7 linked regions of the Nothobranchius furzeri genome follow. The protein of the gene in region 3 purifies or fractionates together with the protein of the main gene of each other region. This does not show direct contact. Links are inferred from orthologs where the notes say so. Each region holds a gene or a part of one and is shown on either strand. Other genes may lie near its edges.

What was found.
Region 1: the proteins of snrpb2 (region 3) and rbm17 purify together in Homo sapiens (affinity purification with mass spectrometry; 3 studies listed by BioGRID and IntAct, with this or other methods). This does not show direct contact. The link is inferred for Nothobranchius furzeri from reciprocal best matches to the Homo sapiens genes SNRPB2 and RBM17.
Region 2: the proteins of snrpb2 (region 3) and snrpe purify together in Homo sapiens (affinity purification with mass spectrometry; 3 studies listed by BioGRID and IntAct, counting the BioPlex papers as one, with this or other methods). This does not show direct contact. The link is inferred for Nothobranchius furzeri from reciprocal best matches to the Homo sapiens genes SNRPB2 and SNRPE.
Region 4: the proteins of snrpb2 (region 3) and sf3b3 purify together in Homo sapiens (affinity purification with mass spectrometry; 4 studies listed by BioGRID and IntAct, with this or other methods). This does not show direct contact. The link is inferred for Nothobranchius furzeri from reciprocal best matches to the Homo sapiens genes SNRPB2 and SF3B3.
Region 5: the proteins of snrpb2 (region 3) and snw1 purify together in Homo sapiens (affinity purification with mass spectrometry; 3 studies listed by BioGRID and IntAct, with this or other methods). This does not show direct contact. The link is inferred for Nothobranchius furzeri from reciprocal best matches to the Homo sapiens genes SNRPB2 and SNW1.
Region 6: the proteins of snrpb2 (region 3) and sf3a1 purify together in Homo sapiens (affinity purification with mass spectrometry; 5 studies listed by BioGRID and IntAct, with this or other methods). This does not show direct contact. The link is inferred for Nothobranchius furzeri from reciprocal best matches to the Homo sapiens genes SNRPB2 and SF3A1.
Region 7: the proteins of snrpb2 (region 3) and sf3b2 purify together in Homo sapiens (affinity purification with mass spectrometry; 4 studies listed by BioGRID and IntAct, with this or other methods). This does not show direct contact. The link is inferred for Nothobranchius furzeri from reciprocal best matches to the Homo sapiens genes SNRPB2 and SF3B2.

What each region holds. Positions count from the first base shown.
Region 1 is NC_091741.1:60,738,436-60,740,645, forward strand, and holds the end of rbm17 (splicing factor 45), read right to left. Parts: coding exon 2,172-2,210; intron 753-2,171; coding exon 649-752; 3' UTR 501-648; downstream 1-500. UniProt on the Homo sapiens protein: Splice factor that binds to the single-stranded 3'AG at the exon/intron border and promotes its utilization in the second catalytic step. Involved in the regulation of alternative splicing and the utilization of cryptic splice sites.
Region 2 is NC_091743.1:2,213,663-2,217,852, forward strand, and holds the end of snrpe (small nuclear ribonucleoprotein E), read left to right. Parts: intron 1-1,049; coding exon 1,050-1,128; intron 1,129-3,487; coding exon 3,488-3,543; 3' UTR 3,544-3,690; downstream 3,691-4,190. UniProt on the Homo sapiens protein: Plays a role in pre-mRNA splicing as a core component of the spliceosomal U1, U2, U4 and U5 small nuclear ribonucleoproteins (snRNPs), the building blocks of the spliceosome.
Region 3 is NC_091746.1:29,739,999-29,743,980, forward strand, and holds the start of snrpb2 (U2 small nuclear ribonucleoprotein B''), read right to left. Parts: upstream 2,801-3,982; 5' UTR 2,700-2,800; intron 2,245-2,699; 5' UTR 2,236-2,244; coding exon 2,172-2,235; intron 1,743-2,171; coding exon 1,570-1,742; intron 1,138-1,569; coding exon 1,003-1,137; intron 838-1,002; coding exon 802-837; intron 729-801; coding exon 640-728; intron 1-639. UniProt on the Homo sapiens protein: Involved in pre-mRNA splicing as component of the spliceosome. Associated with sn-RNP U2, where it contributes to the binding of stem loop IV of U2 snRNA.
Region 4 is NC_091744.1:81,791,440-81,795,671, forward strand, and holds the start of sf3b3 (splicing factor 3B subunit 3), read right to left. Parts: upstream 2,801-4,232; 5' UTR 2,687-2,800; intron 1,922-2,686; 5' UTR 1,876-1,921; coding exon 1,806-1,875; intron 1,599-1,805; coding exon 1,443-1,598; intron 1-1,442. UniProt on the Homo sapiens protein: Component of the 17S U2 SnRNP complex of the spliceosome, a large ribonucleoprotein complex that removes introns from transcribed pre-mRNAs.
Region 5 is NC_091742.1:20,654,240-20,657,739, reverse strand, and holds part of snw1 (SNW domain-containing protein 1), read right to left. Parts: intron 2,356-3,500; coding exon 2,260-2,355; intron 1,962-2,259; coding exon 1,855-1,961; intron 1,762-1,854; coding exon 1,657-1,761; intron 349-1,656; coding exon 279-348; intron 177-278; coding exon 111-176; intron 24-110; coding exon 1-23. UniProt on the Homo sapiens protein: Involved in pre-mRNA splicing as component of the spliceosome. As a component of the minor spliceosome, involved in the splicing of U12-type introns in pre-mRNAs.
Region 6 is NC_091757.1:36,509,305-36,513,563, forward strand, and holds the start of sf3a1 (splicing factor 3A subunit 1), read left to right. Parts: upstream 1-1,459; 5' UTR 1,460-1,674; intron 1,675-1,693; exon of another isoform or gene 1,694-1,784; coding exon of another isoform or gene 1,785-1,808; exon of another isoform or gene 1,809-1,862; coding exon of another isoform or gene 1,863-2,038; intron 2,039-2,128; coding exon of another isoform or gene 2,129-2,297; intron 2,298-2,385; coding exon of another isoform or gene 2,386-2,550; intron 2,551-2,626; coding exon of another isoform or gene 2,627-2,796; intron 2,797-2,871; coding exon of another isoform or gene 2,872-2,949; intron 2,950-3,032; coding exon of another isoform or gene 3,033-3,690; intron 3,691-3,778; coding exon of another isoform or gene 3,779-3,929; intron 3,930-4,009; coding exon of another isoform or gene 4,010-4,257; exon of another isoform or gene 4,258-4,259. Other genes in the region: ccdc157 (coiled-coil domain-containing protein 157), read right to left, coding at 1,863-2,038, 2,129-2,297, 2,386-2,550, 2,627-2,796, 2,872-2,949, 3,033-3,690, 3,779-3,929, 4,010-4,257. UniProt on the Homo sapiens protein: Component of the 17S U2 SnRNP complex of the spliceosome, a large ribonucleoprotein complex that removes introns from transcribed pre-mRNAs.
Region 7 is NC_091742.1:75,394,453-75,398,706, forward strand, and holds the start of sf3b2 (splicing factor 3B subunit 2), read right to left. Parts: upstream 2,801-4,254; 5' UTR 2,758-2,800; coding exon 2,628-2,757; intron 2,234-2,627; coding exon 2,187-2,233; intron 2,066-2,186; coding exon 2,015-2,065; intron 1,688-2,014; coding exon 1,457-1,687; intron 961-1,456; coding exon 891-960; intron 798-890; coding exon 700-797; intron 1-699. UniProt on the Homo sapiens protein: Component of the 17S U2 SnRNP complex of the spliceosome, a large ribonucleoprotein complex that removes introns from transcribed pre-mRNAs.

The sequences.
Region 1 (2,210 bases), on a different chromosome or scaffold from region 3:
AGGTGATTAAGCCAATCAGTAAAACGTTTCTTTCGTAGGGAACCCAGCAGATTGGATCGAGTCACTGACAACAGCCTGGAGAGATAAACTGACTAGTCTGATTTAGCCAAACTTTTACGTTTTGGTTTTTCTGTCATGACTTTGATCTATTTCTTCACATTCCAGCTTCAACAATCAACCTGTTTCGATGATCTGAATTAAAGTGTTCCGGTGGGACGGCGCTGTTGAGGAGAACCCCCAGGGTCCCTTACATAAGGTTTGAATGAGGCTGAGGCTCACTGTCCTAGTCCCCTTCCTATATTCCAGCAGAGCTAAGTTGGGACTCACACCCTGGAGACATATTGAAACAATCACAGAAAGAGCATTATGTAACAAAATTCAAACAGGGAAACTGAGTTTCTTGGAAAGTGGGAGCTTCTGTCTTAGAGGATGTTTACATGACAAGTCTGGTTTTTGTTTCAGAATAAAACACTGATGAATAACACAGGCACAACACAAGGTACAACTTACACCTTTTATTTTCTCTCAACATGGAGGTATTTAACAAAAAAGACTCAACAGACACTAATGTTTGGAAAATATAGAAACAGACAATTTTGTACACATGAGAAGCTGAGGACAGCACAAGCCGATGTTCTTAGGGAAACATCAGACCTGCTCACCAAGATCCAAAACCCGAAACTTGTCTAGATTGTAGAAGCAGGCCTTGACGACTCGTCCTCCAAAATAACGTCCATTTAGATCCACAACAGCTGCAGAGGACACAGATGTAACATCAGACTACATGAGAGAAGCCACAATAATTTCAGATTTAAAAAAGAATAAAACATAGAGGAGTTTAAGTATCTCGGGTCTTGTTCACGAGTGAGGGTAGGAGGGATCGGGAGATCGACAGGCGGATTGGTTCGGCGTCTGCAGTCATGCGGACGCTGAGCCGATCTGTCGTGGGGAAGAGGGAGCTGAGCCAGAAAGCCAGGCTCTCGATTTACCGGTCGATCTACGTCCCAATCCTCACCTATGGTCATGAGCTTTGGGTAATGACCGAAAGAACGAGATCGCGGATACAAGCGGCCAAAATGAGTTTCCTCCGTAGGGTGGCCGGGCTCAGCCTTAGAGATAGGGTGAGGAGCTCGGACATTCGGGAGGGACTCGGAGTAGAACCGCTGCTCCTCCGGATCGAAAGGAGCCAGTTGAGGTGGTTTGGGCATCTGGTCAGGATGCCTCCTGGACGCCTCCCCGGGGAGGTGTTTCGGGCATGTCCTGCCGGCAGAAGGCCCCCGGGTCGACCCAGGACACGTTGGAGAGGTTACATCTCCAATCTGGTCCGGGAACGCCTTGGGGTCCTGCCGGAGGAGCTGGTGGACAAGGCCGGGGAGAGGACGGCCTGGAGCTCCCTAATTGGGATGCTGCCCCCGCGACCCGGACCCGGATAAGCGGAGGAAGATGAAGACGAAGACGATAAAACATAGCCATAAAGATCCAGGACCCAATTATTACTGGATTAAATCTACAAACACATGAAAAGTAGTTTAACAAAAGACTTGTCAACAATTACACTTCTCTGTTCTACTGACTAACATTAAGGCTAAATACGCCATCGGCAGTGATTTTAGGGTCATTCGATGTCAGATCATCTCGGTACCCATCCCCAATCCTGTGTTTCATGACCCCTAGTGGGGACCTGACCTCAGCTTTGATAACCGATGACAATAATACAAACTGAACTGTAAGCGTGGGTTAGACTAGACAGAAGGAATAAACCTGAGACTTAAGTGGGGAATGAAAACAAAAGAACCAAGTGGTAAAATAAGTTGAAGATTCTATTACCGCCATGATCCTAGCATGCATTAAGAGATTTCTCCACTTAGTAACCCTTTTTGTTGACAAAACCAATCTTGTAGCATGACAGGTTCTTTAACGGTGCGCCCTGCTTTCAGTAAGCTGTGATGTAAGACCGGTTCTGTTGGTGCCGTGGGGAGACGACTGGGTTGCTAGGCCACATATGACATAACACCACAGGGAACCGAGTCTCCCCTTGTTTCAGATCTGGGCCAACTCATTTAGAGAGGGACACACTTTCACCCACATTATTAGAGCAGCTACACAATCATGGGAAGAAAGTGAAGCAATTATGTAAAGTTGATCTCTTATATGTGACGGTGAACACTGACCTTTGATGGCCGACTCGACCCGCTCAAACTCCAGAAATA
Region 2 (4,190 bases), on a different chromosome or scaffold from region 3:
ATCTTCTGGTTGCCACTGGTCCTGGTGGTTTTCTTCCAGTTCGACGAGTTTTCTTTTGGAAGGCTGGCTGACTCCAGTTAAAAACCGCCACATTTCACCGCTAGTTTTAACACGAAGCTAACGGCTAACTTGATAAACTGATTGAATGGGATAGGTGGAAATGACGTTGGATGCGGCGTTCACGTTTCGCGTACGTTTGTGTACGTTGCATGCAGGCGGGAGGAGGATCAGAAATCCATGGAAGATGACTGATAAACATAACTAATTTGGTGCAAACATTTACTCGCCAGGTGGCAGGTAGAGCTCAAAAATTTACTCGCCAAATGGAGCAATTTGCTCGCATTTGGCGAGTGGCGAGTGTTAATTTCAGACCCTGAGTAGACGGCTGTTTTCAGTAGGGAGGAGAGACTGCTACCACCAAAACAGCTCTCCTAATGTCTGAAAGAAGCTCCTTCATGAAGGGAGAAACGCTCCCGGTGATGTTCTACATCTGCGGTAGAGACGGAGCAGCGCATCTGACCCCGGAAGTTGTTGTCCGTTGCCGGGAGACGAAGGCGGGCAAAACAGGAAAGGAATCTAGTAGCGGACGGACGTTGTTCCGGGTCTTCGGTATTTGGCGGAGATGTTAGTGAAGGCGAACTAGAGGAAACACAGGCAGATTCCTCCTCTACTTACTAACTCCTGGGGATGCAACAAGTGGGCGCGGTGCGTCGACTACCGGATCTGACGTTGGCGTCATCGAAGCTTTGCTACAGCTCTGGTTTTCAGTCACTCAGGAAGGTGCATTTGTGTGTATTTTCTCCAGCAGACTAACCTTCATGGTGATGAGCTAGTATTGTTTTTATGGGATGTCTGAAACTGAACACCGAGCTGAGAACCTGGTCGTGCGGACGTGACGGTCCTACCGGGCGGTGTACGACCATAACTGATGTGATCTTAAACACGGCCAGGTTGATGGGCCTTGTAGAGATAATCCCACTACGAGTTAAAGAGTTGTGACCAGGTGAAGTGCTGCTCTGCTTCAGTCTGAGTCTCTGCTTATGTTTCAGGGCTTTGATGAATACATGAACCTGGTTCTAGATGACTCTGAAGAAATCCACATGAAGACCAAGAACAGAAAGCCACTGGGTAAGAGTGCATGCTGACTAGGGCTAAACTGATTTAAGAGAAGGTTGAATTATGACTTCAGTTTGATTCTCCATTTTCTTCACATCAAACAGGCAGTTCTCCTGCATTACTTAACCTAAGCAGGTGCCTGATGGTTTCTTCTCACAAAAGCAGCGCTAGAACACCAAACTCACACATTTGACATGTTTCTTTGGGAAAAAGATCAAAGGCTGGAGAAGATTTGCAGCCGGGTATTGAGAAAAATATTCCACCATCATTGAATAAGAAAATCCCGTAAAACACTCTAAAAAGGTGGAAGGACTGACTCGAGCTCCTGATTAGCAAGGAAAGACAACAACAGCTTCAGAAAACAAACAAGCAGCAGGAGGAATGTAAGGAGCTCTAATCAGGCAACTTGGTGCTGACAAGAAGAAGTCAGGCTCTGAGGAAACGTTGGAAAACCAACTTTTGGAGGCAACCCCTCTGGAAGTGAAGAGGTAGAAGCACCTCTAAACAAGGAGAATGACGTGCTTTCACCAGGGAAAAGGCTCCCAAAGCTCCAGTAGGGCTTCAGGAAACATGAAGCTTTTACACAGCCATGGTCGTCAGACTCTGATGATGAAGCTGAAGAGATTTTGTTAGGAAGTATATCATCGTTTTGTCTAAGTGTGTGTGGGGAAAAATGCCAACAACGTTAGGAAAAATCAGTTAAATCAAATAAAAATAAAATGTTCTAGTATCTCATATTTCCTAGTTCCTACTGCATGAGTTCAGATGCATTAGTTCATGCACTTAAACATTAATGTTCTGATTTTACTGAACAACGTGTTCTGTAATAGTTCCTTTACTATTGTGATCAAACATATTTAATCTCAGTTCTGAGGCTGCTCTGTAAATAGTTTTCAAATAAACAATACACACATATCAACTTCTGATCAATCCATATCAATTTCAGATGTAAAATAATGTATTGATGTAAACCACACCCACTCATTTCCTAATAATAAATAAGGTGCATTCATCTGTGTATCTGATCCACATTAGTGATGTTTTCAGCACCAGAACAATGAAGCAAAGAAACAGATTCCTGAGTTTATGTTAGTAATTTTATTTATTAGGTGCATCTGACCTGTTCTAGTTTTCTCTGAAATGAGATCAGACCAGTACTTCTATGGGTCGTCTCCTCTCTGCACTGGAAACATGTACTTTATTATAATGTTCACTGTAATGCATCTTGATGTTCTTAACAATAAATTAAATCAAAGATATTGGTCAATAATGCTAAATATGTACATTTGTGTTTCAGTCATTTTTATACTGGCTTAAAAATACTTCATTAAGTCTACTAAGCAGGGGTGTAGAAGGTGTTTAACAGGGCCAGCCCACCAATGGTCTTGGACCAAAATAAAGGGGGGCAGAAGGAGATGTTTTTCCAGACGCCAAGTAAAATTAAATGCCCCCCCCCCCTGCAAAGTGTGTCACTGAGAGTTTAAAACAGAAATTATTCTTGTGCAAATGTTGGTGTATTCACCTTTAATACTAGTTATTAAAATGCAGCAGTCGCTGGATTGGTGCAGTTCAGAGTGGAGGGCATCAAATAAAACAATATTAACATGAAGGTGAGACGTGTCATAACCCCCCACCCCCCCCCCCCCCCCCACACACACACACAGCTGGAAATAATCCTACTGCATCATCAACGTAACATGATTTACAGAATACATGTGACTTAACATTTCGCATTCTACCACCGGATGTTTGGATCAGAATATGAACCAATCAGATCTTAGATCAGGTGAGAGCCAGGCGTTTCCGTCCTCTAGGTTTTGCAGCTGATGGAGACCAACTGCAGCGCCTTGCTTCAAAATCTGCAGCCGCCTTGATCTCACGAGGTTATCGCTGCCTACGTAGGCATGACGTCAGAGCAAGTCGGCGTCAAATCGGACAACCGGCAAGCACTGCTCGCTGATCACCGGTGATCTAATCTGCGCAGAACTGGCTCATCTCGAACAAGACCAATGTAACACATGTGACAGCCCCATCTAGTGGACAACTTTGGTCTCTGCACACACCTGTAGTTATCGTCCATTTATCGTTATCGAGGTGAAATCCTCAATGTATCGTGATATTAATTTTAGGCCATATCACCAGCCCTATTGTGTGTGTGTGTGTGTGTGTGTGTATGAGGAACACCCTCTGTAAAGCTGCTCCTGCTGGGTCCAGCAGGGCGGCCCGTTGAGCGGCTTGCTGCCACCCTGTGATTGTACTGAGGCTCTAGAATTCCTGGTGTTGGGGATTCCATGTTGATTTGTGTAAACGGACACTTTGTCTCTCGTTTTGTGAACTGACCTGTCTGCTTCTGCGTCTGTTTGTGTCTCAGGGAGGATCATGTTGAAGGGAGACAACATCACCCTGCTGCAGAGTGTGTCCAACTAGAGACGTGGAGATGCCAGTGACTCTTTTTTTTTTTTTTTCCGAGCAAATGTTTTTCCATTTTGGGGCTATTTGGGTTCTAATTACATGGATATTTTAATTGTTCCTCAACCATATTGAACAGTTTTGAAAATAAAGTGTTTTCTTTCAGTTTGTGTTGCTGTCTAAGTGTAAGAAGGTCTCTGAGCGACACTTCCAGCTGGTGACGGTGTGACGGAGCACTGCTCCACGTACACAGGTGCACATGTTAGTAAATGAATAAATGAAGCAGAACTCGGGCTCGTAGCTGAAGGCAGACTCGGTGAAGGGAGTTGTTTCAGCGGGATGACGTAATACCTCAGTACGTACGCAGCGTGCCCCTGTTCAGTTGACTGGGAAACCCCGAGCGCGAAGCTGCCAACGCCCGGCGGAGCAACTCACCTAAGTCCCACGGTAGGTTCGTTAATTTTGTCTGGTTTGTGCGGGTTTAACGTGACGGTGTTCGTGGTTTGGTCTGGCGCGTGTCTCATGTTTGTGTTCTGTATGAGCAACTGGGATGGATTCCCTCATTCAGCCATGACATCCGTTAGGAGTGGCTGAGCCATTTTAGCCCGCCAGCTAATGGAGGAGGATGGTATATTTAGCCTGCAGCTCACAGCGGCAGCATTATC
Region 3 (3,982 bases):
CCACACAGTAACGTTTTATAAAGTAAAGCGACCGGAAGGCAGTACGTTCTTTATTCTGAAAATCTCTGGAGCTTCTCTCCGTTTCCGCGTCCGATTTCCTGTCTTTCCTTCCCCAAAAATGTCGAACTTGACCCGTTTCAGAGGCGTCGCGCGTAGAAAATAGAACCGGCGCGTAAAGGCCGCGACATGCTGCTCCTGACACGCGGCCGACTCGCGCTGCCGACGGCTCCGGTGGAAAAGGTTCTGTTGACCACAGCGGTTCCTATCAGCAGCTATGACGTGCTGCTGCAGTAACGTGCTGCTGACGGCTCCTGTGGAAAGCCGGGGTAAGGGTACGGAGCCAAAAACACAACTCCAGGAGTCAGCAGTTGCTCCATAGTTCTCCGCCACGCTGCCCAGAGCCGTTTCTGGGTTCAGTCTGACAAAAACCATCACCGTCATTGTTGTTTCTCATACAGATCTCCTCTAGCTCACCCCCATGACAAATCCTGAGCGCCCTCCCCACTCTGCTGGTTCGATTCAGGTTCTGATTCTGCTGCGAGTCGCAGAAACAAAAGAATTCTGACTTTTGGAACTAAAACGACTCAGCTGGTTTCAGGTGGCTGAGGTTCTGGATGGAGGAGGTCATGTTGGACTCACTGGTTAAAGAGCATGGAGAGCATCATCTCATTGGTCTCTTCTGGAAGGTTGGTGAGGAACAGGATGTGGTTCGGGGGATTGTCTGGAACCTGAGAAGAAAATAAATAAATAAATAAAAGGTTTGAAAGCTCACAGGTATTGTAAAGATGTGGGTTTTCTCACCTGAGCAGCAGGCGTCTGGACAGGCACAACTGAAACCTGCAAAGGAACACAAGTGAATCATAAACCTTTACACAACATTTTGGTGTTCTGATGCTGGTCAGCAGGGTTTGGACCAACAGGGCCAGAACCTTTAAAATAACCTCAACCCAGAAGAGTCGGGTCTGGGTCAGAGAAGTCACACGAAGCAGAAGCAACACTCACCGCCGATGGTTTCTTAGCGGCATTTGCCGCCTGCTCCTGAGCCTTCTTCTTCTTCTCCTTCTTTTTCTCCTTGTCACTAAACGTGCCCTTCATCTTGGAGATGACCTCCGAGTCGGTCTTAGCGTACTGGATCCTCTGAGAAAACACAAGACCCGAGTCAGACCTGCAGCTCTGAGAGGGCCCACAACCCCCTCTGCTCCTGAGACAAAGCCAAGCTGCCGGTGGGTTAGGTTAGGCAAACTGTTAATGTTCTCATGTGGGAATTTTGCTTTTGTCACGACAGAAAGAGGACAGTCAAAAGGTAGGAGCAGCGAGTTTACAGAACACTAAAGTACAATAAAGACATTAAACCGCACCAACACGGCACGCTTCACCAGTAATGGGAAAAAAATTCACGCTAAACCAGAAACACTCAAATAATATTGCACACAACTAACAACTAGTATGGTGCATTGGATGCATGTGCTATGTGTATCATGTGTGTGTGTGTGGTTAACTGGGAGGTTGTTATTTTACAGTCTGACTACAGAGCAGATCAAAAACTGGAAAAGATGACAGTCTGCGTACCATGGGTTTGTTATAGAAGGGGAAGCCCTGTAGTTGCCTCAAGGCGTTGGTGGCAGCGGTGAGCTCTTTGAAAATGACGAAGGCCTGACCCCTCATCTTCTCCGTCTTCATGGCTACGATATCAACGATCTGACCAAACTGGGAGAAGAGCGCGTAGAGAGAACGCTTCAGCTCTACGGGAGGAAGGAGACAAGAGATGTGCCAAGATGGGTGAATCCATGAATGTTAATTTTCAGTGTGACCTGGGTCTGTCTGGGCTTTGGAATCCCAACGTTTCCCCGTCTCTGATCTGTTGGCAGCTAACTTAGGAAACAGAAGACTATTTTCCAGTTCAGCCTGTATGATTTCATTTAAAAATTAAAATGAAGCTGAAAAAAGAAAAACACAGTTTATCAGTTAACTTGGTGTTTAAGCAGCAACATGTTGACTGACTTGAACTTTTATTCTTTTACAAACGTATCTTTTTAAAAGGATTTAAGCCTTAAAATTGTTGTTTTTGCTTGGTATGTTTATATTGTGATGTTCTCTGTGCAAAACTTTAATACTCGTGTCTAGAGAGGTGCTCCATAAATGTAAATTAATGTAAAATCAGCTCAACTCACCTTCCTTCTTCACCTTGTCATTGATGTTATTGATGTAAATCGTGTGATTTGGCCGGATGTCCATGATAAGTGTCTGAAAACAGGAGAACCCATAATAATAATAATAACAATAATAACAGTTGATCAATGGGACGGGCTGGTATCAAATTTCGGTAATCTGGGGGATTTCGAAGTACAATTAGATTTTACTTCAACTTTTTGAACTCAAAATCTCTTGTTTAAATACCAAAATTATCCTAAACTCAACTATACGCGAATGTTAATAAATGTATATGAATGTCTAAAAATAAAAACACCGGTTTTTAACAGCGTGGGATCAGGCTGATGAAAATTAAGTTTTTAATTTAAGATTTTTCAGTTTGAAAACATGTTAGCATCAGCTAGCTCGGTGGCTAACAGATCCCTTTCTGACGAAGTTCTAGTCAAACAAGCATCGCTTTTACATAAAAAACACATTCATCTGCTCCCATGTCGCGTTACTGATAAATAAACTTGTTTCAAACTAAGTTAAATGAAGGAAAAACTCACCTTTTCTGGTCACACCTGAACACACACTACGATTAGCGCCCCGGTGTTTCACCGGATGTGTCACACCGGATATGAGCAGGGGGGCGGTGCTTATTAGGACCCACTTTTAATGAGCGGATGTCCTATTTATTACAATTTTAACGAATATCCGAATAACTTTTCACTTATGCTTACGCTCTTTTTGTGCTATCTTACATTTTTTAAAACAATAATTGATTTAAACACGTTTTTCTTGACCTATTTATCCACATTTATACATACCTGTAAATGTTCTAATACGAAACGGAATTATACTCAACAAAGTTTTGCGTCGAGTAACATTCAAAATTTTAAATGATATTATCCAAATAACTTTCTACATGTTAGATTTAACTGGATGAATAATTCATGTGGTTTTTGTGAAAATAATATTGAAAATGTAGAACATATTTTTTTTAATTTAATGTGAGTGTGTCAAGATCCTGGTTCTGGTCTATAGGGCCTTACATGGACAAACACCATCTTACATTGGTGATCTTCTTAGTCCCTACACCCCCAGCAGGTCCCTGAGGTCCAGTGATCAAAGCCTACTGGTTGTGCAGCACCAGGCTAAAGGTCAAAGGTGACAGATCATCTGCTGCTGTGGCCCCCAGACTCTGGACCTCTCTCCCCCTGAGCCTGAGATCAGTGGACTCAGTGGTCTCCTTTAAAAAGCAGCTGAAGACTCACTTGTTCAAGCTGGCTTTTGTATGACCTTCTTCACCTCTCTCTCTTTATTCTGCTCTCCCCACCTATTCCACCTTCCTCAGGATCCACTGATTTCCCCCTTTCCTATTCACTCTCTCTCTTTCTTAACATTTTTTCTTTTAAATCGCAACATCTTGCTCATTTTAAATATATTTTAAACATTTTCGAAATGCTTTTTTATATTTTTACAATTTTTATATTTTTGTTTTTGTTTTTGTGAAGCGCCTCGTGATTTTTATCTTGAGAGGCGCTATAGAAATGATATTTTCTTCTTCTTTTCTTCTTCTTCAAATATTTCTGGTGTTCTGTTCACACTTGGTTGTTGTCTAAGCATGTCACAGTAAGTCCGTTAAACTGGTTGCTATAAGTGGGGTTGTTTTTGAAAGACAAACATCAAGATTTCTTGGTAAATGTTTTGATTTAGCTGGGAAAACCTTTTATACACAGATGTAAATTCCTCAAGGTTAAGCCTCATGTAAGCGGACGGAAAAAGGATTTGGAACTGTTCAAGAAAAGTTTATATTATGTGGAGAAGAAAGATGCCCAGAGACTATCTT
Region 4 (4,232 bases), on a different chromosome or scaffold from region 3:
GCAGCAAGGAGGAGCAGGCAGGACAAGGTGAAGTTACAGCATAAGTTACTGAGTTTAAAATTAGAAAGGTAGCAGTGGATGTAATGCTTTTTGGTTTACATGTTTCAACAGCATTAAGATAAATGAGTGTTGACGATCTTGACAGGGTTTCCTCCAGTGCTTACTAGGCCAGATTTTCCTCCCCCCACCAGGCTAAGCATCACTTATTCATGTATTTTTTCATGTCTGACTTTAACCGCATCTAATATTACGGTGTGAGCGCAACAGCGACAACTTAAGATCGATGTGTGAGCAGCCTGAGAGGTCGGGTGTTTTCATCTGAACCCTTAAAACCTCCAGCAGGCTACGCTGCACTATTGACGTGTTAGCGTGCGGCGCTAACAACTTAGCGACGTGACATGTCTCGGAGAAAGCGTAAAAACACGTTGGACGCTTCTTCTGAAGCGGGAAAATAACACCTCTTCTTAAGCAGAGCACGACGTCGCCTCGGCTCGTTCACGACCGAGCCGGACTGAGCTCGATAACATTGACCCAGCACAGCCACTGGGTCGTTGGAGCTGCCCCGTGACTGCCTGATGGAAAACCAGCGGGTTTCATCAGACTCGTAAAGTTTCTTGTTTTTGCTGGGGACCCCCTGTATTTTACCGCTCCCTCCTGCAGTCTTCCCCTATTAACATTTAAAATGATTCTGTAAATTCCGTGTATCAATAGAAAAAATCTCTGCCTCTGCCAGCTGCAGTAAATGTAGTCTCCAAATAATAAACAAGAGGTGCATTCATCTGTGTATCTCCTTTGATCCGCATTAGTGATATTCTCAGCAGCAGAACAGTGAAGCAAAGAAACAGATTCCTGAGTTTGTTAGTAATTTTATTTATTAGGTGCATCTGACCTGTTCTATATTTCTCTGAAATGAGATCAAATTAGTGCTTCTATGGGTTGTCTCCACTCTGCACTAGAAAATTTCACTTTATTTAGAGACGTGTCATAATTTCTCGCCAAGCCCCCCCCCCCCCTGGAAAAATTCCTAGGGGAAACACTGTGCATACTTATTTTTTGCACAGGCATTTGTTTACTGTGAAGTAAAGCTGAAGTGATGAAGTTTTGAAAACTAATTTTGAATAAAACTTGAGGAATAACTGGCAATTGCTTGCTTATTTTAAGAGGTCTTTCATATTTTATAACATGCTATTTGATATAATGGTTTACAAACACAAAAGGGCCATTTATTAGAGTACTCGATTAATCGATAAAAGATTTGATAGAGTACTCGATTACAAAAATATTCAATAGCTGCAGCCCTAATTGTAATATTATTTTAGTTACTGTTATTTTAAACTGTACTTCATGTTATAAATATGATATACAGTCATAATGTCTTGATGTTTGTAAAATATTTATAAATACATGACACACATTTTTATTGTTTCCAGTCTGATGTGTACCTTTAGTTCCTCCGGTGAGTCGGAACGCCATCAAGGATCTGATGATGCCGAACACCTCCATTGTGAGGAGTGTGTGCACCTTTCCCGTGTTAGCATCCGGCCGCAATAACTCCAGGATCTTTCCTCTGGAAACAGCAATCTCCTGCAGCTTGGTTCCTACACGCAAACATTTAATTAACATGATTCGAGCTTTATAGGGTTAAAATTGTTTGAATATAGAAAAGTAAAACGTTTGGTCTGCACAGGCTGTGTCACACAGCGTTGGTCCTACACTGAAATAAAACATAACTGTTTTATTGAAGCCCGCACTTGGATAATCAAACAAAAGATACAAAGTTAAAAAAAAATCCGGAGGAAGCTCACCTGAGAAGTTTCCATGGATGGCGTGAGTGATGCCAGTGGCACGCTGCAGGGTGATGTTGTAGAGAAACATGGTTCCCTTTCAGGGTTGTTCCGGAGCAGCTCAGCCCGGCTCACAACTGCAAACAGGTGGTTAAATGCGAAAGCTCAAACTTCTACAGTCAACTGATTCACATACTAGATGACTCAGGCCAACAGCTTCTTTTTCAACAAATACACTCTAAATAATGAACTGCCTATGGGAATTTAGTTAAATGCAGAAGCTGAAGTGATTTCCACTCATGTAGTATATCAAACCAACTTAAACTAGTTCTTTCAACTATTTATAAAACCTTCCTAAAGGGAACGCATAAAAGGGCCAGATAACTGTTGGCACCACCTTTACCAGATGTAGTTTGACCTTTTCTATTCAGACAGAAGACATTTCAATAATTATTTTCACAATCCAACGTGCGTTTTAGTCCAGATCAGACCCGTACGAGTTAAACTGATTACAGCTGGAGCTGGTACCCGGACTTCTGTGGACCCCAATCCATCCAAGACGCTCTTTAGCTTTTCCTCCCAGCCGCTGAATGAGCAGACTTTAGCAATTTACTGCACGACGTGAATGTTTACCAGTTTGCAACTCCTCCGGGCTCACCGAAACCTCTCAGGATGTAACTTATCCCCATAAACGGTTTCCGTAGCTGTATATAGGTTATTTTCGGATAAACTCGGCCTGCTCACGGTAAATCCACAAGGTTTTCATACGAAGCGCCACTTCTTGCCAGCAGCATCCGCTTTTGTTTTCCTGCTATCCTACTAAAAAGCCTTTCATAGTTCACAAACATATCGTTCCTATTCAGACTAATACTTGTTTAAATTTTGAAAAATAAAAAATTTACCGGGTTATTTAATTAGATGATTGTGATTTCTGGTGGATTGAAACTCATCGGCTCGAATATTTCTCTGTTGCTTCAGGACAGCAAGCCTACGTAGGGCTTCCGTTTGTGTGGGTCCTTCTTTAACCGTGAAGCGGGTTTCATAGGTGACCTTAGCAATGCCTGATAGAAATAAAGTGTAGTAGCGCATGCTGTCCAGCAGATGTCAACAAAACACTTGATATCGCTTTATAAGTTTAGACAATAAAATAAATCAACTGTTTTGCTACACACTCAAGCGATAATAAAATATAGCATAACGCCGTGAAGGAAAAGGCTCAAACAATATCTGTTTAAGTTATAACGTGATTTTTATATCTAAAAATACAATATATTTTTGTCATTCTTTTCACATGAATAAATACTTATCACAATTCTACATTTGATTAATCTTCAAGTTATTACAGTAATAATATCATATTTAGATAACATGAAGAAAACACATTTCATGTCGTTAGTAATTATTTTATGTACCGGTATTTATTTATTTACATTTATTTATCCAGGTGAACTGCTGAGAACCACTTCTCATTTAAAAACATGACATGGATTATGAGAAGCTGCATGCTGCTAAATAGCAGATTAGGAAAGATGGAGGTCAGGCGAACATTTTCTCATCCCATCAGTGGGAAGATGCATTTGTCACCAGAGAAAAGATGTTCAAACGTAGAGGCAACTTATTTGTGTTAGAAAACAAGTTGGGGTTGTGACCCCACTGGGGGTCACAAAACTCCTCAGTTAGGGACTTGAGATAATCTACAAAAGTCAGATAAAAATAAAGAATAATTATTAATAAAGTATTTGACTATGTCAACCCAAAATAGAATAACCATACTGGTAGACCTATTTTTGTTTTGGTGAGGGTAAAAACTTTGGTTTGGTTTGGTTGTTCAATGAATCACACCGACACATCTGGAAACCACTGCTCTGTTAGCTGGGAGGCCTGTTTGTTTTGTATATAGTTCATTATTATTTGTAGAATAATTAGTCTGATCTTTTTCAATATATTTTGACAGGGGAATTCAAGCACCCTGACATTTTAGAATATTACTGCATTTTTTTTTGGGGGGGGGGGGGGGTTGTCATAGATGTATGTATTGTGAAAGACGTGGGATTGTTTAATTGTGAAAAGGAAAAACCGGAAGTTGCAGAAACTATTCCTTCAGGGGTGGGGGGAAGATACCTCCTCCTTCTCCTCCTGCCTGCTGGTTCTGAGCAGCACTTCAGTGGTCCTCCTCCCGAGTTGGACGTCTCGTGCCTGGTTCCGTTGGGAGGCAGCAGCCTCCTGCAGCTGCTCGACTCTAAGCGCATTTTTCTGCAGCCTCTCCTCCTCCTCCTCTGTGATCTCAGCCTTTGTGCACCCAGAGCGCGTGTGCGCGTGCGAATCACGCGCTCACATTGAAATTCAGACAGCGTGGCTGCGCGCCGAGAGCCTGAATAATCATCCGCAGCTCCGAGCCAGATTCCCCCCAGCCTGCGCAGCGAGGTGAGCCTTAAATCTGCGTTTGGA
Region 5 (3,500 bases), on a different chromosome or scaffold from region 3:
TTATCAAGGGGGATGGTGTAACCCTGAACAAGAGCACATCAAAGGACTTGAAATCTACCCACAGCTGTATTCAGACTAAACCAACCAATGTTCCCGGTGAGTCTGCTCACCTTAGCGTTCTTCCAGTTGGAAATACACGGAGGAATCTTCCACTCCTGCTGCTCTTTGACCGTCATCTACAACAAAGTAAGAAACTCCATCAGAAGCAGCCATAGCTAGCTCATCTTCATTTGCTATGTAGCATCAACAACCAGAGGGCTTCCAACGTTTTAGCTGACCTTTCTGCTTGGAGAGTGCATGACCGGGGCGGGAGGGGAAGGGGGTCCTCGAGGAATCTTCTTATTGATTCTGAAACGCACAAACACTCAAGTTAATTCAACAATCCAGGGATGTCAACCAGACGATGCAGAACTACAGAGAAACACGGCTTGGATCAGGAAAGTTGAAGAAGCAAGTTTAAAGTCTTGTGTGAATTTCTACAGACATGCTAGCCGCGTTCCGCTAGGACTGCCGGTACCCGTCAGCTTCCTCTGGAGTGCCACATGCCAAAAAGACCTGATAGGACTCTTTCTTCAGCTTGACAGCATCCCTAACCGCCGGTGTCCACCAGCGGGTTCGGGGGTTGCCATCACGACAGGCACCGACGATCCTGCGACCACAGCTCCGGTCGGCCGCCTCAACAATGGAGGCTCGGAACAGGGTCCATTCAGACTCAATGTCCCCCGCTTCCCCCGGAACATTTTGGAAGTTCTGTTGGAGGTGGGAATTGAAGACAATCCCAGCAGACCCTCGCGATACTTTTGGGCCGGTCTGGTCTGACCGGCATCCTCCCCCACCATCTGAGCCAACTCACCACCAGGTGGTGGTCAGTTGACAGCTCCGCCCCCTCTTCACCCGAGTGTCCAAGACGTGCGGCCGCAGGTCAGATGAAACAACAACAAAGTCGATCATCGAGCTGCGGCCTAAGGTATCCTGGTGCCAGGAGCACATATGGACACCTTTACGTCTGAACATGGTGTTCATTATGGACAATCCATGACTGGCACAGAAGTCCAATAACAAAACACCACTCAAATTCAGATCGGGGGGGCCGTTCCTCCCAACCACACCTCTCCAGGTCTCACTGTCGTTGCCCACGTGAGCGTTAAAGTCCCCCACCAGAACGAGGGAGTCACCGGAAGGAGCGCTTTCCAGCACCCCCTCCAAGGTCTCCAAAAAGGGTGGGTAGTCTGAACTGTAGTTTGGTGCATGAGCACAGACCAAAGCCAGAACCCGTCCCCCCACACGTAGGCGGAGGGAGGCTACCCTCTCATTCACCGGGGTAAACCCCAACGTACAGGCACCAAGATGGGGGGCAACTAGTATGCCCACCTCTGCTCGGCGCCTCTCAGTGGGAGCAACTCCAGAGTGGTAGAACGTCCAACCCCTCTCAGGGAAACTAGTTCCAGAGCCAGAGCCATGCGTTGAGGTGAGTCCGACTATATCTAGTCGGAACCTCTCATCCTCACACACCAACTCAGGCTCCTTCCCCACTCATTAAATGTTTTTTTGTGACAACTCCAAACTGAAATATATTTCCTTTAGACGACATTTGCTGCCCAACTTAAATCAACACAGAACAAAAAGTAGATCACCATTTCAAACCGTCTGACTTACTTAAAACGAGGAGGCTCCATCGGATCTTTCTGCATCTCCACCATACGGATAACTCGCTGCTTGGCTCCTGAATTAAAAGCCACCCCCTGCTGGGAAGGAGTGTATCTGAAGAAGACAACAATAGCACATGACTAATGTCAATAGAACTGTTCCTAACACACACACACACACACACACATGTTCAGCTTCACTACACACCTGATGTATTGTGCAGGAGCTTGTTTGTCTGCGGCTCTGACGGGCATGGCAGCTGCGATCTTCTGAGACACTTGCTTCTCCAGGGCGGCACGAGTTTTCTCCGTCAGCTACAGAGGAGGAACAGGAACATTTATCCAGTTTATCATGATTACTAATGAGAATAAAACAAACAAGACACAGCAGCGGTTTGCCAGTGAGATGAAATAAAACTTGCAGATAAAGGATTCAATGGTTCAAACAGCCTGTAAGATTCTGGGTTGCAAATAAAAGGATTACTCCAAATAAGAAATAACAGCTGAGTTAAAGCTCGCCTTTGATTATTTAAAGGTAGCATTAATGCATTAGTAATAAATGAAGGATAGAAAAACAGAGCTGCATCTTCTAACATGTTGTATGACATCGTACCTCTTGAACAGCCTCCTCGTCTGGCTTCTGCAGGCCTTGTGCATCTTCATGAAGGATCTCTTTGGGAAGCAGGTCGGTGTACTTGCTGAAGATCACCTGCAATAAGGAAAATACATTCAGTGTTGAGAAACTACAAAGGAAAGCTCACAACTAAAGCCTGATTTATGCTTCTCCGTCTGCGTCAGTGCGGAGACACGCGACGCCATTATCCGTCCTTGCGTAGGGCTCCGGCAGACACGCAAGTACGTACGGAGTCGAGCCCACTTTTTAAAACATCTGTCGAACGAGACGGATTACGCAAGCTTGTGATTGGTCAGGACGCCGCTGTTGTTTACAGCGCCGCCATTGCAAAGAGAGCCGAGGATAACTAGCGGCAGACACGGAGAAGCTTGAAGAAGACCTCGCAAAAAAAACTAAAAATATGAACGTTTCATTCTCCCGTGATTGGAGGAGTGAAAAGATGCGCAGCAAGCGTTTTATTTGTGGACGGAAATGACAGGAAACGTGGGTTTAGAGGTGGGCAGCGCATGAAGCGGTGGGAGAATGACAGACAAATATGTCCGTGTTAAAAGTCTCTTATATACACAAAAAACACAATATAAACACACGATCTTGGACCAATACATGACAGGATACCACAGAACAGCGCTACGCCCTCTGTTGTCCTGGCAGGGAATTGCTTTGCAACACTCTCCAGGAGACGGAGAAGTATGAAAGCAAAAAGCTTCCATCAATCCGTGCGTGTCTGTCCCTTGCGGCGCTGACGGAGAAGCATCAACCAGGCTAGGGCTGTCGCGGTTGAGGAATTCCCCCTGCGGTGATTCAGGGTGGCTTAATATTGCGGTATGCGATATTATTGCAGTCCTTTTTTTATTGCAGTACTATCTAAACATAATGTTTACACATTTAAAAAAGGTTAAAAATTGCCGTGCCTTCTTTTATAACGCTTTACTGAATGCAGCTCAAAGGGCAGTAACAACACAGATCGCAGTAACGTTTGTTTGTCCGACAGTCGGAGTCCGACTGAACTTAAAAACAACAAAATTCAGGAGAAGGTTAAACTTTTAAATGCAAATTTAGCTGCAGCATCTAACAAATAAGAAACAAGTCCCCATTTTGTTTAGTTGTTTAAAATCAAGCATAAAAAATTGCATGTACCGGGCGCGCGCGCGCCGGGGGGCGGGCGCACTATCATTTCACTTTCACACACACACGAATGACGGTGATTTATAGCTCGGTCA
Region 6 (4,259 bases), on a different chromosome or scaffold from region 3:
CAGTTTGATTTATTTGACATCTGTATAATGTTTATTATTTTGTTTTTTCCCCCTAAATGCCTAACGTTTCAGTTTAACATGAATATTAGTCATTCATCACAATACATAAAGTTACACATTTTAAATTTTAATAGGGGAAGACTGCAGGAGGGAGCGGTAAAATACAGAAATCCCCAGCAAAAACAAGAAACTTTACGAGTCTGATGAAACCCGCTGGAGTTCCTTCAGCAGGCCTGGTGGCAGCTACAACGACCCAGTGGCTGTGCTTGGTCAATGTTATCGAGCTCAGTCCGGCTCGGCCGTGAACGAGCCGAGGCGACATCCTGCTCTGCTTAAGAAGAGGTGTTATTTTCCGCTTCAGAAGAAGCGTCCGTGTTTTACGCTTTCTCAGAGACATGTCACGTTGCTAAGTTGTTAGCGCCGCGCGCTAACACGTCAATAGTGCAGCATAGCCTGCTGGAGGGTTCAGATGAAAACACCCTACCACTCAGGCTGCTTACACATCGATATTAAGTTGTCGCTGTTGCGCTCACGCCGTAATACAGTATTAGATGCGGTTAAAGTCAGACATGAAAAACTCCACGAGCGGTCAGACCGCGCAGCAGCTAGGCGCAGCAAATAGGCGCCGGATCGTCCAGGCTGCCCGGCCTGACCGCTGGGGATTACCGGATGGAAGAATGGACACAGAAGTCTCCCTCTTAGCGCTCCGTCATATTTCAACCCATTTTTATCTTAAATGCACTGGGTTTTACCCTATTACCCATCTAAATATGCCCTATTAATTATTTTACCGTATTTTACATTTAAATTTCATGGTTAAACAGTACATGCTACATGTTAAACTGATAGTTAGCTAGCTACTTCGGTAAACTCAGCTAGTTTAAAGGTAGCAGTGACATAAAATACGAATATAGATTTTAACTTACCGAAAAAAATGAAGTGGAGACTCCTTGGACGCTCTATTAGTGCAATTAATACCACTGCAAGTCATTTTGTCCAACAATTGCACCAATAATATCCAAAGAAGAATACACAAACACAGAGACTCAAAATGCCGGAGCAGTTTCCAAGCCAGACCGAGGCTGTACTGAGGCCTTTCCACGGAGCTAGCTCTGTGGTCACGTGGGTCTGAGGCGGCGGTCACGTGTGTTGGATGCTCATTAATTATACAGAATTTTAGGCTTTCAATACACTTAAACAGAAGAGTGAGAAAAAAATTCACCCCCCTCAGAGTTGTCATGAGTATAAACTAGATAATTTAGACAAAAAACATGTTTTGGCACCAGGCTGTAAACATGTTTATTTCTGCTGTGAAATCGGCATTTTTAACATGGGAGTCAATGAGGATTTGCTCGCTTCTGGCACCAGCCCCCAGCGGATGAGGGTGGAACTGCAATTTTTCTTACTTCCGGGATGGGACCATTTTCTGAGCGGCATTGTGGGGGCTTGGTTGCCACCCATGGCCTTTTGTTGGAATTATTTCGTTTTGGGTGGTAAAAGGCCGCAACAGAATCATTTGCATATCTTCACTGACCCCCGCATTTCCTGCACATCACAAGATGAAGTTTGGGAACAGAGAGAACAAGCTCAGAGACCTTTATGCTGACGTGTTCTAAACAGGAAATGCAGCACTGACGAGGATTAATAAAGCAACCAACGCTGTTTCTAATAAAGGCAAGTAAAACATGTCAGCTCAGTTTTTTCAACAATAAGGTTTTTATTTAGTCAGTTGCATCCACGTTGATCTGGTTTTTTACATGAAACTCCAAGGAATAAAACTGGCTTCATGTCTGCAGAGGTGCAGGTTCCTATTCAGACACATACATTACAAATGAGTTATAATAATCCCAACGGTGCATGATCTACTTCACATGAAACTCCTTTGTGTACATCCATACCCTGCAGGCATTTTGCTGAGCTCTTGTTTTCAATTTCTCAAGACTTTTGTGCAGAGTAGCATTTTCCTGTTCCATCACTTTTATACGAATTCTGTTTGCTTGAAGCTGTTGCTCCATATCCAAAATCAAGTTTCCTGTACCTAGAATGTAAATAAAGTCATGTGCTATTATTATACTGGAAATAAATCTAATCAAATATAATCAGATAATGTTATTCAGTAGCAACCTACTCTGAGGTTGGGCCTGGGACCAGTTGTTGAGCTCTGGGAAAGCCACCAGCAGTCTCTCCCTCTCCTTTAAAGAGTCCACACGCCTTGTCAGGTCAGCCACTTGCTTTTTCAACTCATCCGCATTTACTTCTAATGTCTGCTTCTCCTTCTGGAGCTCCTCACACAAATTCTGATGGAAGAACAAGAACAAAACAGACTTTATTATAACTAAGGCCATTTACAGTACAATTGTATTGCATTTTAGGCCACATATATACCTGCTGCTGCATGAGCTGAGCCTGCTGTTCCTCCACCTTTGACATCTGATTGTGTAAGGTGATCCGTTCCTCCTCTTTCTCTCCTAGCTCCCTCTGCAGCTCTTCGCACTCTTCATCGAGAGCATCAACTCTTTCCAGCAACGACTTTTGCTTTGCCAGCATTGACTGGATACACAATTATATTGAAAACAGTGTGAAGGATCCCCTTTATAGCTATGCTGGCCTTTACAGTGACACTGACCTCCTGCTGACGACAGGCGCTCCTGTACTTGGCCTTCTCCTTGTCAAGAAGAAATGTAGCATCAGAAACTTGAGTTTCTAGCTGTTGGATCTGTTCCTGCAGTCTGCAGCAGGCCTCTTTCTCTGTTTGCAGGTTCTTCACTTTCTCATGGAGTGCTTTCTTTTCAGTTTCTACCAGCAAATGAATCGTCATTATGCAGCATCATACTGTAGATGTGTTGAATGACAGAATCTGCATCTCATTACCAAGCACTTGTAAGCTGTCATGTTGCAGTGCTATTTTCTCCTTTAGTCTGTTATTAGTCTCCTCCAGGGACATATTTTCTGTCACAAAAATGTGAAAAATATTTATAGTAAAAACTATGATGTCAATACATTCTTGTTATAAAACCGATTGTGTTAACTACCTCTCTTCAGCTGTTGTTGCTCCTTTTGTAGCCTTTGCTCTGTTTCTTTTGAGGATCTCTGTGCTTTCCGTAGAGAAAACTCCAGCTGGACAGAGTTTATTTGGTGTTTTTCCAGCTCTTGCTTGAATTGTTTCTGTGCACTTTCCAGCTCAGATTTGAAACTGTCACGTTCCATTTCAGCTACGGCAATTCTTTCTTCAAGAGGCTGCACAGTACCCTGGACATCCTTAAGATGTTTGGTCAGCCGGCTCGTGTCCCGGAGCTGCTCTTCGGCCCACTGGGCTACATCGCCTGATGTCATGTCACCCACAATGTCCTCCATAGCTGCTGCGAGAGGCTGCAGAGATGAGGGCAAACCCTCACTCTGTAACAGATCTATCAATGCATCTCCCGTGTTTCTCAAAAGGGACTGCACCTGATGGCAAGCGCTGCAGGGAATAAGGGACGAACTTGTTGTCTGGCAGCTCACATGATGCTGCTCAGCTTTAGGATAGCATGGAGTGTTGTTAGTTTGTGGGACAAAATCAAATGAGCTTGCTGAAGACAAGGCAGATGCACAAAAGCTACTAAGTTCAGTCTTCGAGCTAGTTATAGCAGGGTTGGACAGCACCATATTTGTGTTGTTGGAGTCAAATGGCTTTGTATCTTTAAAGGGCTCCTGTGAAAAAGAAAGCATAAAAGTATCCAGATCTTTCATTTAAAATGCAATTTTTAGAGTATTTTGTATTTTCTAACATTAATACTACCTTTTTGTTGGCTGATAGGAGTAAATTCCCACAGTAGTTCTTGACCACGAGTCCAACTGACAAGTATGTTGTCTGCTGGGTTTGCTCTCCTCTCTGTCTGCCTCTCGGCACCTCATTGTAAACACTAACACTTTGTAGAAGTAGCAATAATCTTTTTAGAAAAGGAGAAAGGCAAATGTTAATAGAATTACTTTGGTAACAATGCATAACATATAAAACACATTTTATTACCTGTCAATCACTAATTCCAGTAAAACAATGTGGGAGTGCTGATTGAAGGCATCCTCTCCGTCTACATAGTCGTACTCCTCCAGCAGAGCCAACATGTCCACATTACAGGAGAGTTTGTCAGGGAACTTCCAAGAGGTAAAGCTGACCGGTCCTGTTCTGGAAAAGACGTCCACGATGGCTGCTTGGATGTCCGCCAGATCTTTTTGGAGGCTTTTGATGCAGTCTTGACTACCTAACAGCTCACTCATGA
Region 7 (4,254 bases), on a different chromosome or scaffold from region 3:
CTCAATATATAACCATATTTGATAAATATCACGATAAATAACATACAACTGTTTGTATTTTAACGTCGTCCTTGTAGTTTTATAAGCTGATGATTAAACTGAAGCAAACATCTTTACTGTGAACTAAATTTACTGTGTATCTTCATTCCTTTTACCGTCCTTTTTCAATTGATTTTTCCTACTGGGAAGTTAGAATTTCTGAGGAGAAAGCGAACGCACCATTAGCTGATAACAACGGTGGCAATGGAAGCTAACATATCAAGCTAACGTTATCTTAAACAGTTTATTTAACTGCTGGAGCAGATTAAAACGATGATGCCTCACACTTAGATCGTTGTCGCTGGTTTCATCTTCACCCAGTCACCCGTCGCATTTAGTGAAGTGGACCCAAGCTTAAGCGTTCGTTCGTTCTACCATGCTGCTCTGTTTACAACTGGCTCGCAGCGACCGATGACTTAACGCTCTTGCGCATGCGCAGCTGTCTAGGCAAGTTCTCGTTGTGAAGGACGGGTACCGAAACGAGACACCGTTTCAAATTAAGTGAATCGGTGCTCGGTCGGTACTATGGAATTTGGTCGGTACCTTAAAAAGTACCGAATTCGGTACCCATCCCTAAAAGCAGCATGACGATAAAATCTCGTGTTTAAGAGCGTAGGACTTCCATGTGCAACAGGAGAAACTCCGTTTCAGTCTGTTTACCTCTTTGTCTTCTCCTGGAGGGGGGGGCACCCTCTGTTTCTGGGAGGGCAACAACGTGACACCAGGAGGAAGCGGCCCACGAGGATCCAAGATAGAAACTGAAAAAGAGTTTTGAAAAAGTGGTCATTGCTGTAGAAACTGGACTTACATGAAGTTATGTGTTTTTATTTGAAATAACACATTAGACTGACCAATGGGCAAAGACCTGGGCTGCAGCTTGGCCATCTCCTGCTGACGCTCCTGTTCCAGCAGCACAGCAGCCTGGCACACGCAGACGGGGAGACATAAATACAAGGTGAACATGTAGGAAGTGCAGATTAAAGATAAACCCCTGAGTTTAGTTAAAGCTCTGCTCTGGATTGTTGGCTTCTATTCAGCCGATTACCTGCAATTAGACAAGAAGCAGATGTATATCTAACTTGGCCACTAGGTGGGGAAAAGGCTCTTAAAATCATCACTTTGCAAAGTGAAAGGTTCATTCTGTTAGAGCAAACGGGGCCTTCAGCTCCCCTAAATATTAAACGGAACATCTTTGCCTTTTCTGCTGCTCTAGAAGGTCCTGTTCACCTCTTGTTGTAACCAGAATGAGCAAAAATCCACAATTCACAACAGGATTTTGCCTCAACTAACCCAATTAAAAAACTATTTCTGATTTATATTTTGTTGTTTCAGCGTCCCACAATCTCCCAAATGCATAATATTCTTAGCGTGTAGTGTTCTAAACCAACAACGGAACATGATGGTCTGAGGGCTTCACCTGTTTGGCTCGTTCCTCCTGTTGGAGAACCATGGCCGCCCTGTGCTGAGCCATCTTCAGCTGGTCGTCCTGCGTCAGCGCTGGAGGCAGCAGGGGTCCGTGCTCCATTCCTAAGGGTAAACCAGGAGGAGGAGGACCTCCAGCGGGCATCATGCCCATAGGCTGGAGCATTCCGATGCCAGGGGGCATTGGAGGCATGGGTAATGGGGGAAGAGAAGGTAACCCTGGCATCTGGAGGAAGAAGGAAGTAAATTAAAGGCAAACACCCACTGAGCCATGAGCTTAACTGAACCTCAGTTTTCACAAGTTTCATTTGTTTGTTTTGTGATAATGTGGTTAAACAATTAAATCTAGTCTCTCATCCACCTGTGTTGTTAAAATCTATACAGTGCAGTGATCACCATGGCGACTCTTGGTTTTATTTACTGCGTTTTTTGATGGTTGCCAGAAATATTGTGATAACACAAGAAGACATTTATGAAAAAAAACTCTAAGACCAACAGAAAAGTGTATCAGTACATTAAACAGTGACGTCACAACAATCTGATCAGTCCTTACCTGGACGCCCATTGGGTTGTCTTCATTTGGTTTGCTGAGGATAATTCCTGTCTGTAGGACAAAAACAAACGGGCAGATCCAGTAGATAAATTAGTACTAAAACAAGTTTCTTTAGGAAACAAATCGTGATGAGGAAGTGGAAAAACCAGAATCACATTTCTAAAGCGTTTACCTGCATCATGTAGCCCTTCAGTCTGTCAATCAGCTCCTCTCTGGGACCTGGATGAGAGAAAATAACTGTTAGACAACAAGGAAGTGATTCCAGGAGCGCAAGACAAATTCGAAGTTTTACTGATTCAATAAGATACAAACAGAACGCTACACTGCGTAAATGCAAAGACTTACGCTCAAAGTTAGCAAAATAAGCTAAACGTAAGATAAATACGTTTAAATAGAAGACCCAAACCAATCAAACGTTTAGCTGTTGCTTTAAACGTCACAAATCACGCAGGTAGATTCACTATGTTGTGCTCTAGTGAATGTAAACACACGTAGAGTCTGTAGTTGGCCTACTTTAATAATGCGTTACCAAACTGCTAGCTAAAGTTAACGGAAGGCTAATACCTGGTAGCTAAATTCATTGTTCGATGAGTGCCCTCCAAGTATTTCTTACCCATATTTGGTGCGCCCAGGTCAGCCAGCTTGGCTTGAAGCTCCGGATTGCTCCATGTGTTTAAAGCTGCGATTGCACCTCCTAAATCAGGCGAAAGAGAATCGCTACCCGTTACTCCGTCGGATGCCATGTTGAGCTTCTCTCAATGGAACAACGGCGGCAGCGGAAACAACGCGAGAGTGAGAAGAAGATTGGACCAATGCATTGTGGGAAACGTGCCACAACGTTAAAAAAAAAATTCTTTTAAATTGAACTTTTTCATTTACAATTAACATGGCATAAATTCCTTTGTTTTACATTACCCGGGATCAGGTGCAAAAAATAACAAAAGAGACTTTGCATAGAACGCAAGAATATTTGTGAACGAAACGAACAAACAGAAAAAAATAAATAAATAAAAAAGAGACAAAGAGCTAGGGCTTTGTTTTCAAATCATACTTTTCAAAAAGATTAAGGAGTTTCATTGCATGTTTACTTTTCATAAACTTAAGGGCTTTGGAGAAAGAAAGACACTCGTTATGAAATGCATAGAATCTGGCTTCACATTTCCATATCTACATTTGTGAATGTAAAATTTAGCTACAACGATTATGTTATTTACCAGAAAGTCCCATTCAGTGTTATCTAATATGGCACCGTAAATGACATCGTTCTCAGAAAAGGGTTCAATAGGTATCTTTGTGTATAGCCAGTCATGGATATCATTCCAGAGAGCTTCAGAGAAAATGCAGTAAAATAATAAATGAACAGAGGTTTCTTTATCATCACACCATACACACTTATTTGTTTCGAAACCACATCTCTGTCGTAAGAATTCCCCAGATGGGTGTACGTCATTTAAAACCCATGCCCAACTAAAAAACGTGTGCTGGAAGTTGGTTCATGTGGCCACGGGATGTCAGTGTTGGCACAAGAGAATTTATTAACAAAAGCGAAACTTTTTAGTTTCATTTTTGAAATTTGGTTCACGAATTACAAAATTTAAAAGTAAAATGTAATCAAAGTACAGCTTTTTTTCTTAATGGTCATCTTGCACCAAGAAGGTTGCTGGCTTAAATCTCAGCTGTGCGCATTAGATGTGGAGTTTTAATTGTCGTATTGTGCATGCACTTGAGCAATACTTTGTCAAGAAGACACGAACCTGGTGCCCAAGTGCTGGTGAGCAAACTGCCTCTCCTCCCCTTTCGGTCAGCTCATAGGTCCCCGGAGCATAGAAAAAAACGAATACAAGTGAACAAGGCTATAAAATCTATTTTCTAATCTGCTTTGCCTTACGCCCTGAAATGCACATTTTTGTACTTCAATTCAAATGAAAAGTATTTATGTGTGTTTCTGTGTCTTTCAAATATTTTGAGATGTATTAGCTTGTAAAAATTTGTAATTAAAACAGACTACAAATCAGATGTTGCATATATGATGTCACCCCAAAATCTCTTCGCCCACAGCGTAGGTGCTACATAACACATGGTCAGATTTATAGTGCTTTTATCCATGCATAATGCTCATTTAATGCTCCACCATTGGAAATCATGGTAAACAAAAGACGTTTGAATCTAGAAATAGTGACTGGGTGTTTGGCGCTCTCTTGTTTAATGTGGCAATGCATGTTCCCCAATCAGGAAGACTT